2 linked regions of the Neurospora crassa OR74A genome follow. Each later gene encodes a partner of the first gene's protein in a complex. Links are inferred from orthologs where the notes say so. Each region holds a gene or a part of one and is shown on either strand. Other genes may lie near its edges.

What was found.
Region 2: the proteins of tim54 (region 1) and tim9 are in contact, whole or in part, in a cryo-EM structure (PDB 6LO8), measured with the Saccharomyces cerevisiae proteins. The link is inferred for Neurospora crassa OR74A from reciprocal best matches to the Saccharomyces cerevisiae genes TIM54 and TIM9. Residues at the interface, in NP_012481.3 of Saccharomyces cerevisiae: Glu76, Met78, Glu79, Val80, Lys82; in NP_010894.1 of Saccharomyces cerevisiae: Lys65, Glu68, Arg69, Gln72, Arg73.

The regions. Positions count from the first base shown.
Region 1 is NC_026504.1:4,486,745-4,490,959, forward strand, and holds tim54 (mitochondrial import inner membrane translocase subunit tim-54), read left to right. Parts: upstream 1-1,671; 5' UTR 1,672-1,936; coding exon 1,937-2,002; intron 2,003-2,070; coding exon 2,071-3,411; 3' UTR 3,412-3,706; downstream 3,707-4,215. Other genes in the region: NCU07294 (hypothetical protein), read right to left, coding at 3,756-4,215. UniProt on the Saccharomyces cerevisiae protein: Essential component of the TIM22 complex, a complex that mediates the import and insertion of multi-pass transmembrane proteins into the mitochondrial inner membrane.
Region 2 is NC_026503.1:2,974,054-2,977,244, reverse strand, and holds tim9 (mitochondrial import inner membrane translocase subunit tim-9), read right to left. Parts: upstream 1,935-3,191; 5' UTR 1,763-1,934; coding exon 1,755-1,762; intron 1,633-1,754; coding exon 1,563-1,632; intron 1,150-1,562; coding exon 961-1,149; 3' UTR 781-960; downstream 1-780. UniProt on the Saccharomyces cerevisiae protein: Mitochondrial intermembrane chaperone that participates in the import and insertion of multi-pass transmembrane proteins into the mitochondrial inner membrane.

The sequences.
Region 1 (4,215 bases):
GCAAGCGAGCTCAGACGAGATTCCGAGGGACGGCAGATGGAGAAACGATCAGAGTCGAGCTCCCAGACCGATCGATGGGATCTATGCGCACAGAAAGGGGTTTGTGTACAAGACGGGATAGGTATGGGGAGACGGGAGGAAAGGAGGTTGCTTTTTCTTGGGACCAGGGTCCAACGAGGATCGAACGACGGTTGGCTACTGTAGATGGTAGGGATGGGAATCGAGGGCGGCCAGGCTGGGGGGGCAGGTGGTTGAGTGGCACCGTCCGAAGTGGAAGTGTCCCGCTGGAACGTGCAGTCGATAGGCGCAGTGTGGAAGTGGAAGCAAAGTGGAAGCGTGACCGACGTGAGCCTCTCCAGCCTACCTACAGGAAGGAGTCTGACAGGAGAGCACTGGCTGGAGGCGATTCAGGGCGCTGTAATTCGGAGAACCTAGGTACGGACGAATCAGACAAACGGAAGGGAAGCAGGTGGGGCAGGGTCCCTGCGGTATCAGTATAAATAAAGACCTAGACGTATAGAGGTGACATGGAACCTAACAGATCCCATCTATAAGTGACCAAGACATAGACTGTGATGATATGAGACAGCCACGGGCGCATTCAAAGGACACCTTGAATAACAACAGACAACTAGGAGCATCTTTACGTTTCCGTTTTCTGTTGCCACAGGAAGCTGGCCTCGATGTGAATCTAGTACACGATGCCCAGGAATAAGGAGGTCGTAGAAAGAGGGGTTCCATGTTTGGGATGACATGCCCAGGTCCAGTGGTGAGCTCCAGGCCGAAACAGGACCACCTAACTATGGGGTGCCCTGGTCAACCTGAAAACCCCTGACTCCAACCTCATCGTCAGACGTCAACTCGTTGCTGTCTGTTCCGCACTGCTGCCATCTTCTCGTGCCTCACAAGCACACTATAGGTAAACCACCAGTCCCCCGAGTGTTGAAGCTCGACGCAACGGCATTGGACCTCGAGAGCATCGAGACTCTGGTCCGGGAATTTGTTACTGGCTGGGAGCGGGCACTCCCGGGTCTGCAATTGATCGAAGGGGCATCCTGGTGGAGCTGAAGGTGGGGTGAACACGCTTAGCGCCATCGACACCGCATCTTCCCTGGGTGCTCCTGTTCTTTCAGGGGTTGCAGCGTCTCGGAACAGTTGTGCCCATTGATCACGCAAGAGGTCATCATGATCGCTGACAGCACATGAAGCCCAAGTCGCCACGACCGAGTATACAATTGTCTACTGTAGAGACATCCTCTACGATGCTTCAGCAGAGAATCCAGGGAAAGTAAGAACACGGAACAGGTAGCCCGACTTATACAAGCTCAGGTACCCTTTGCAGACGCTTTTAGAACCTATAGTTCTGGCTCAGAAAGATGGAACCTGCTTCAATAGGGCTGACTAAATTCCCCAACTTATGAGAGTAAAGTCCAGACATGAGACTATCTTGGAACTCTCAAGATAAAATCTTGGGCCGTTCCAAGTCTGCGTGGTCTGCATTTATACACTAAAAGTTAATTCAAGTGTCACTGGCATGACGTGCGGTTGACCTTCGCATATGGCCCGTGCACAACCACTAAACGCGATGAAAGATGCAGGTGGGTGCCGCCGCGGGAATGGCTTATCGGCTTATCGCGATAAGAAAGTGTGTCCGGGAATTTTGGCAGTCGGGTGCTCCGCTGCACCGGCCCCAAGGTCCTCAACGGAGCTCCTACGGAGTCGCTGTCCGTAGTCCGTACAATCGTTACGGAATCCCGTCGTCCTCTTCAAGTTGTCTTCCAACTGTGACGCCCCCCGCGAGAACCACCCCCCGATCTCTCCCTACGATACCCCTCGCGCCGTCACAGTAAGCTGCATGCGCCCGTAATTGCGCAAACTCCATCACCACACGACATACATCAGAGTAATAGCATCAGCCGGCGCAACACTTTATACCATGGCCGACCCAGTACCCCCGGCGTCCACTGCGCCGCCTGCCGCTCCGGCTGCAACTACGGCTACAGTATGTTACACTTTGGCTCCTTCGCACTTCATCGTATTTCTGAATATTATGGCTCACATCACACCTAGCCTCCTCCTCCTCCTCCTCCTCCTCCTCCGAAAGCCCTGAGGCCGCAGAACCAGGCACTTCGCATGCTCGGTCTCCCTAACCTGCCCAACAAGCTCCCCTCCCGAAATTGGATGATCTTCTGGACCGTCTCGGCCTCCATCACAGCTGCAATTATTTACGACCGCCGCGAGAAGAGGCGAAACATTGCGAAATGGAGACACGCCGTCGAGCACCTGGCTGCCGAACCCATCACCGATAAACTCGGTCTTGAACAGCCGCGCAAGCTGACCATCTACCTCTCCGCCCCGCCCGGCGACGGCCTGCGCGTCGCTCAGGATCACTACACAGAATACGTCAAGCCTGTTCTGGCCGCCAGTGGCTTGGACTGGGAGTTTGTGCAGGGCCGCCGGGAAGGCGACGTGCGCGCCGTAGTCGCAGAAAGATTGCGCAAGGTGCGCCGTGGCTGGGAGAACAAAGAGGAGCAGGACCCCAACCGCGAGCCTACCAAGGACGAGTTGATAGAGATCTACCGCCAGCAGCGCGGCATCAAGGACTACGAAGGTGTTCGCGGCGATGTTGTCATTGGCCGTCACACATGGAAGGAGTACCTCCGGGGCCTGCACGAGGGTTGGTTAGGGCCGCTGGTCGCGCCCGCTGAGCCTGCGCCACTCCCTCCCACACCCGCACCCGCTGCGGCCGAGGGTAGCACATCTACAGAAGACAAGCCCGCGGAGGAGAAGAAGGAGGAGGAAGCCCCGAAGCCCAAGCGCCCACCCCAACCCAAGCCATACAACACGACCTCCGATTACTCGTCCGAGACCCTTCATCCCCTGACGCCACAGGAACTCACCCCTGCGGTCCCTATCCGTGAGCCTCACATTCTCGGCTTCCTCAACACCCCTACACGCATGGTCCGATTCTTCAACCGCCGCTCACTCGCCGACGACATCGGCCGCGAAGTCGCCGCTGTGTGCCTGGCAACCCACCGCGAGTTCCAGCAACAAACCAACCCAGACGCGCCTTCTACCGATTCGGTGCAGTATGAGCAGGCGAAGGAGCTCGAGTGGGAGGAGCAGGACTGGCCCAAGAAGGTATGGAAAGAGGATGAGGCCGATGCCGATAAGGAAGTGACGGAAAAGATCCATATCAAGCCCGTGGTTATGGACCCAAGACTTGCGCACCGCATGAGGAGGTTTGCCTTGACGCCCGAGGACGAGGATCGGGTGAGCAAGATTAAAGTGCCCGAGGAGGAGGTCGAGGGCTGGATCAAGGGTTCATTGAGGAAGGCCTGTCATTGGGGCTATGACAAGGCCTTCAACAAGAAGAAGCTTGTCCCTTTGGAGGATAAGGATGTTGAATAAGCGAGGTGGTACTGTTGATACAGGAAACTTGTGTCCAACTGGCATCTTATCCTCATGTACAAACAAAAGATATAAAGGAGGCGCATGTTACGATCACAGTGTATGAATAAGCAATGGCCAAGAAAAGCTGGATGTGGACTAGTTGTTGGGTATATTAAAAGGCTAGGTGTTAGCGGTTGCTAATCAGATGAGATTGGCGATATCTCTGATCTCTGCAGCCCTCTTCCACACATCATATAATGAGACGCCTCTTCCAGTAAACTCGTGAATCAAGTAGTTCAACCAAGTCAACTCCTACCTTGTCTGGGGCCCCGTCTTCCATTCTTCATTCCCCTTTACAATGCTCAGTCATCATCCTCATCCGACGATGCATATGACACAAGTCCACCAAGGGGCTTTTTCGCGGGCGCCGTAACTGTGGTCGTAACTGTAGCCGTAACCTTGCCTGGCTCAGAAACCACCGTGTTCTTCTCCTCCTCCTTCTTCTTTTTCCCTTCCTCTCCTCCACTCCTAGCCCTCTTCACCACCCCGGGCACCAACCTTTTCCCCTCTCCCATCCTCCTCCTCTTCCTCCCTGCACCTCCCGCTCCACTCAAAAACATCAACTCCTCCTCGCCCAACCCATCATCATCCCCCCCATCCTCTCCATCCCCTCCCTCTTGCTCCTCACCACCACCATCACCACCACCACCACCTCTTTGCCGCTGCTGCAACTCCCTAAACTTCTGCAACCCCCCTTCCTCCTCTCTTCGTCTCTCTTCCTCCTCCCTCCTCTTCCTCTCCGCCACCCCCTCAAGAAACTCA
Region 2 (3,191 bases), on another chromosome or scaffold:
TTTGCACAGCTGATGTTTGGGCGTGATTGCCGGTTTTAGGTTCATATAGCATTTCGACAGTTTTCCCTTGAAAAATGTTCTTTTGGGTGGCTATGCGCATGACGACCGTACAGTTCGAAAGTTCTTTTGTGAGGGACTCGCCCGTCCTCTAGTCATCAAGTAAGAGGAAGGTTTATTGTCCATGTAATCCCACAAATCACAATATAACCACGCAGAAAGATTTGTTGTATTATTGCACACAGCCAGATTCCAACATCTTGACTTTTGTATAAATCCGTTTTTTAGTGCCAATATCTTCGCTTCAGTCTCTTTTCGTTACCTCACATCACGTACCAGATCTCTCCCCGTAGGTATCACGCTTCACGACTACCAGAGGTACAACAACAACAACAACAACAACAACGGCTACCTCCGTTGTCCCCTCAAAGGCTTTTTGTGAAAATTGTCATATCCGTAGATGTCGACAAAAAGCACCTTCAACTTTCCTCCCTACCTCTAGCCAAAGCTGGCAGAAACTAAGTAGGACTCGTCTCGACACCATCCATCCTAGGTATTCAATACCATCCATCCGTTTCCCCCTCTCCCCCCCCTTCTTCTTCTTCTTCTTCTTCTTCTTCTTCTTCTTCTTCTTCTTCTTTCCATATTCATCCACAACGGAAAACCGGTATTCCTCACCACCTCATTCTGCAACCCAACCAGCACACCTTCACTCGCAATATCCTTTACGGTATGTATGTATGTGTGTATGGTACGCATGCATGTATGCGCAACCTGCCTCATCGTCGTCAACCCAATTTATTTCCCGAACTGAACCTATTTATACACATTTGTCTTTTTTTTTTTTTTCCCCTCAACCCTTCTTCCTTCCTTCCTTCCTTCCTTCCTTCCTTCCTTCCTTCCTTCCTTCCCCTTTCTCCTTTCCTTCTTGTAGTACAGTGTATAGTGTAGTTTTTTTTTATTTTACCGCCTCTGCATCTCAGCAGTCATGGCAGCGTTGAGCTCGCCAAAGCGCTCGCCCAGGCGCGTCTGGGTGGACATGGACTTGAGCACGCAGCGGCTGATGCAGCCCGACTCGCGGCCGGAAAGGGCCTTGGAGGTGAAATCGTCGACGCAGGCGGTGAAGCAGTTGTCTACGAGGTTACCGAAGACCTGTTTGTTTGTTCGTTTGTTTGTTAGAAGAAAGAAGAGAGAGAGGGAAGGGAGGGGGAATGTTGGTAAGAGGTTTGGTGGGTTGGTTTTGGGATAGATAGATGGGAGAGCTAGCAGAGGCGTGGAGAGGGGTGGTGTTGGAGGGGGAGAATGGATGGATGGGGAAATTGAGGTATGCCAGTTCGGAAATAGGTGGAAAGGAAGGAGGAGGAGGAGGAGGGGTGGGAAACAGGTTGCGAGTAAGTGCGAGTAGATGGGATAGTTGGGGGATGGATGGTGGAAGACCGGGGGATAAAAGATTGGTGATGACGGTAGCTATGTTTGGATCTAAGATGTAGCGACGACTCGAAGATGGAAGAATATTGGTGGCGCAAATGTGTAACGAAGAAAGAAAGTGTGTATATACGACGTACACTCATAAACTCCTTGACCTGGCGCTTCTGAAGGCGCTGGTCGAGCTCGCGGCTCTCGGCGGCTGTAAGTCTGTTTTGATGGAAAGTTTGACGATGACGTTAGTTTTGGGTGTCCAGTCTTGTTCTCCTTGTCGTAAAAAAAAACAAAAAAAAACACAAGGTGACTGTTGTTTCCCTTGCTCTCTTGCTTACCCATCCATTGTTGTCGATTTGGTGTTGTGGTTCGGTGATGATTCCGAACTCTTGAGGAAATTCGAGTTGTAGTATGGATGTAAGGTCCTGGTCGGTTGGCAGAGGTGGAATCGATAACGGATGGATGGATGGATGGATAGATGTCGATGTCGTACCTACCTAGGGCCCGCTGCGCGCGACGGGCAGAAACGAGTCGGATGGATTGAAGCTGCAGTTCTAAAAATTCACCGCCCGGCAGAGAGCTCGATGCTTGGCGCTTGGCAGCAAGGCTTGGCAAGACCGGGGGATACAGTAGCAAAGAAGGTCTGTGCGCTACTAACGTTCGCTCTTAACATTGTACACTACCACTGCACTGCACAACTGCAGGCAGCTCAACCAACAGTCTTCACTGCAACCATAGCCGACGCCAACGGTGAGGAATGACATCACTCCTTACGATCCAACACAGGGCAACAACCTCTCGGAGACGGCGCCAACTGGAGGGATCACTACTAAAAACAGACATTTACTATGTATAGGTAGATAGAAGAGCCTCACTGGTACTGCTATCTGAGGTTTTGCCTTTGTCTTGCTCCCCATTAGGTTTCCGGCAATTCGTCCCTGTATCACCCACCATTCAGCAGGGCGGGGAAGTGAAGGGAAGGACTGACTGTGTGCAAAGTATGGTATTGTACAACGACGGCATGTCCGCTGGCTCGTAGGGACCGATGTCCAATGGGCTGTTTTATCTCTCCGTGTCTTGTGTCACTACCGAAAGGCTTCGTTACTTTGGCCATGGCTTTGTGGTGAGAAGAAAAAAAAAAAAAAAAAAAAAAGGTGCTGGGATGTGAGCCATTTCTCCCATTGACGGTTATTTGCGGTTAGTGAGATGTGGTGCGGACGTCTTCTTTCTTCATTACTGCAGTAGTGTTCATCGCCTTTTAAGTGCTTATAAGCACTGGTGTGTTCCCGGAAATCCAAAAACACCAACAGCAGTACATATCGTGGGCTTACATGCAGCCTCAGCCAGAGTCAGCCTATGACGTCCACCCGGGAAGGATCTCGTGTTCAGGGAGGAATATGTCTTGCCCGCATATGAAAGATGAAACAAGACCCGCAGTTGATGGGTACAACATGCTTTTCTACTTTCAAGCCGTTGTGGCAATTTGAGGTGGCCTTGTATGTGTCCCGCCCCCCCCCCCCCCCCCCCCCCCCAAATCGTTATGGTTTTGATACATCCACCATCCCAAACGCACAACTTGGCTTGGAGGCTCTAGGTGGAGCTGCCTTGTCGCGGCAAAAGCTCGGTCCGTCGGCTATGGTAAGGGGTGAATCGCAATCTGATATGTTTCTAGGCGGCTCAGGTAAATTTCATCAAGCGGTGAGAATATGTACAATGAGCCGAGCCTGAACTCGCCCATATCTACGCTACGAAGCTCAAAGTTGGGGTCTGAGGAT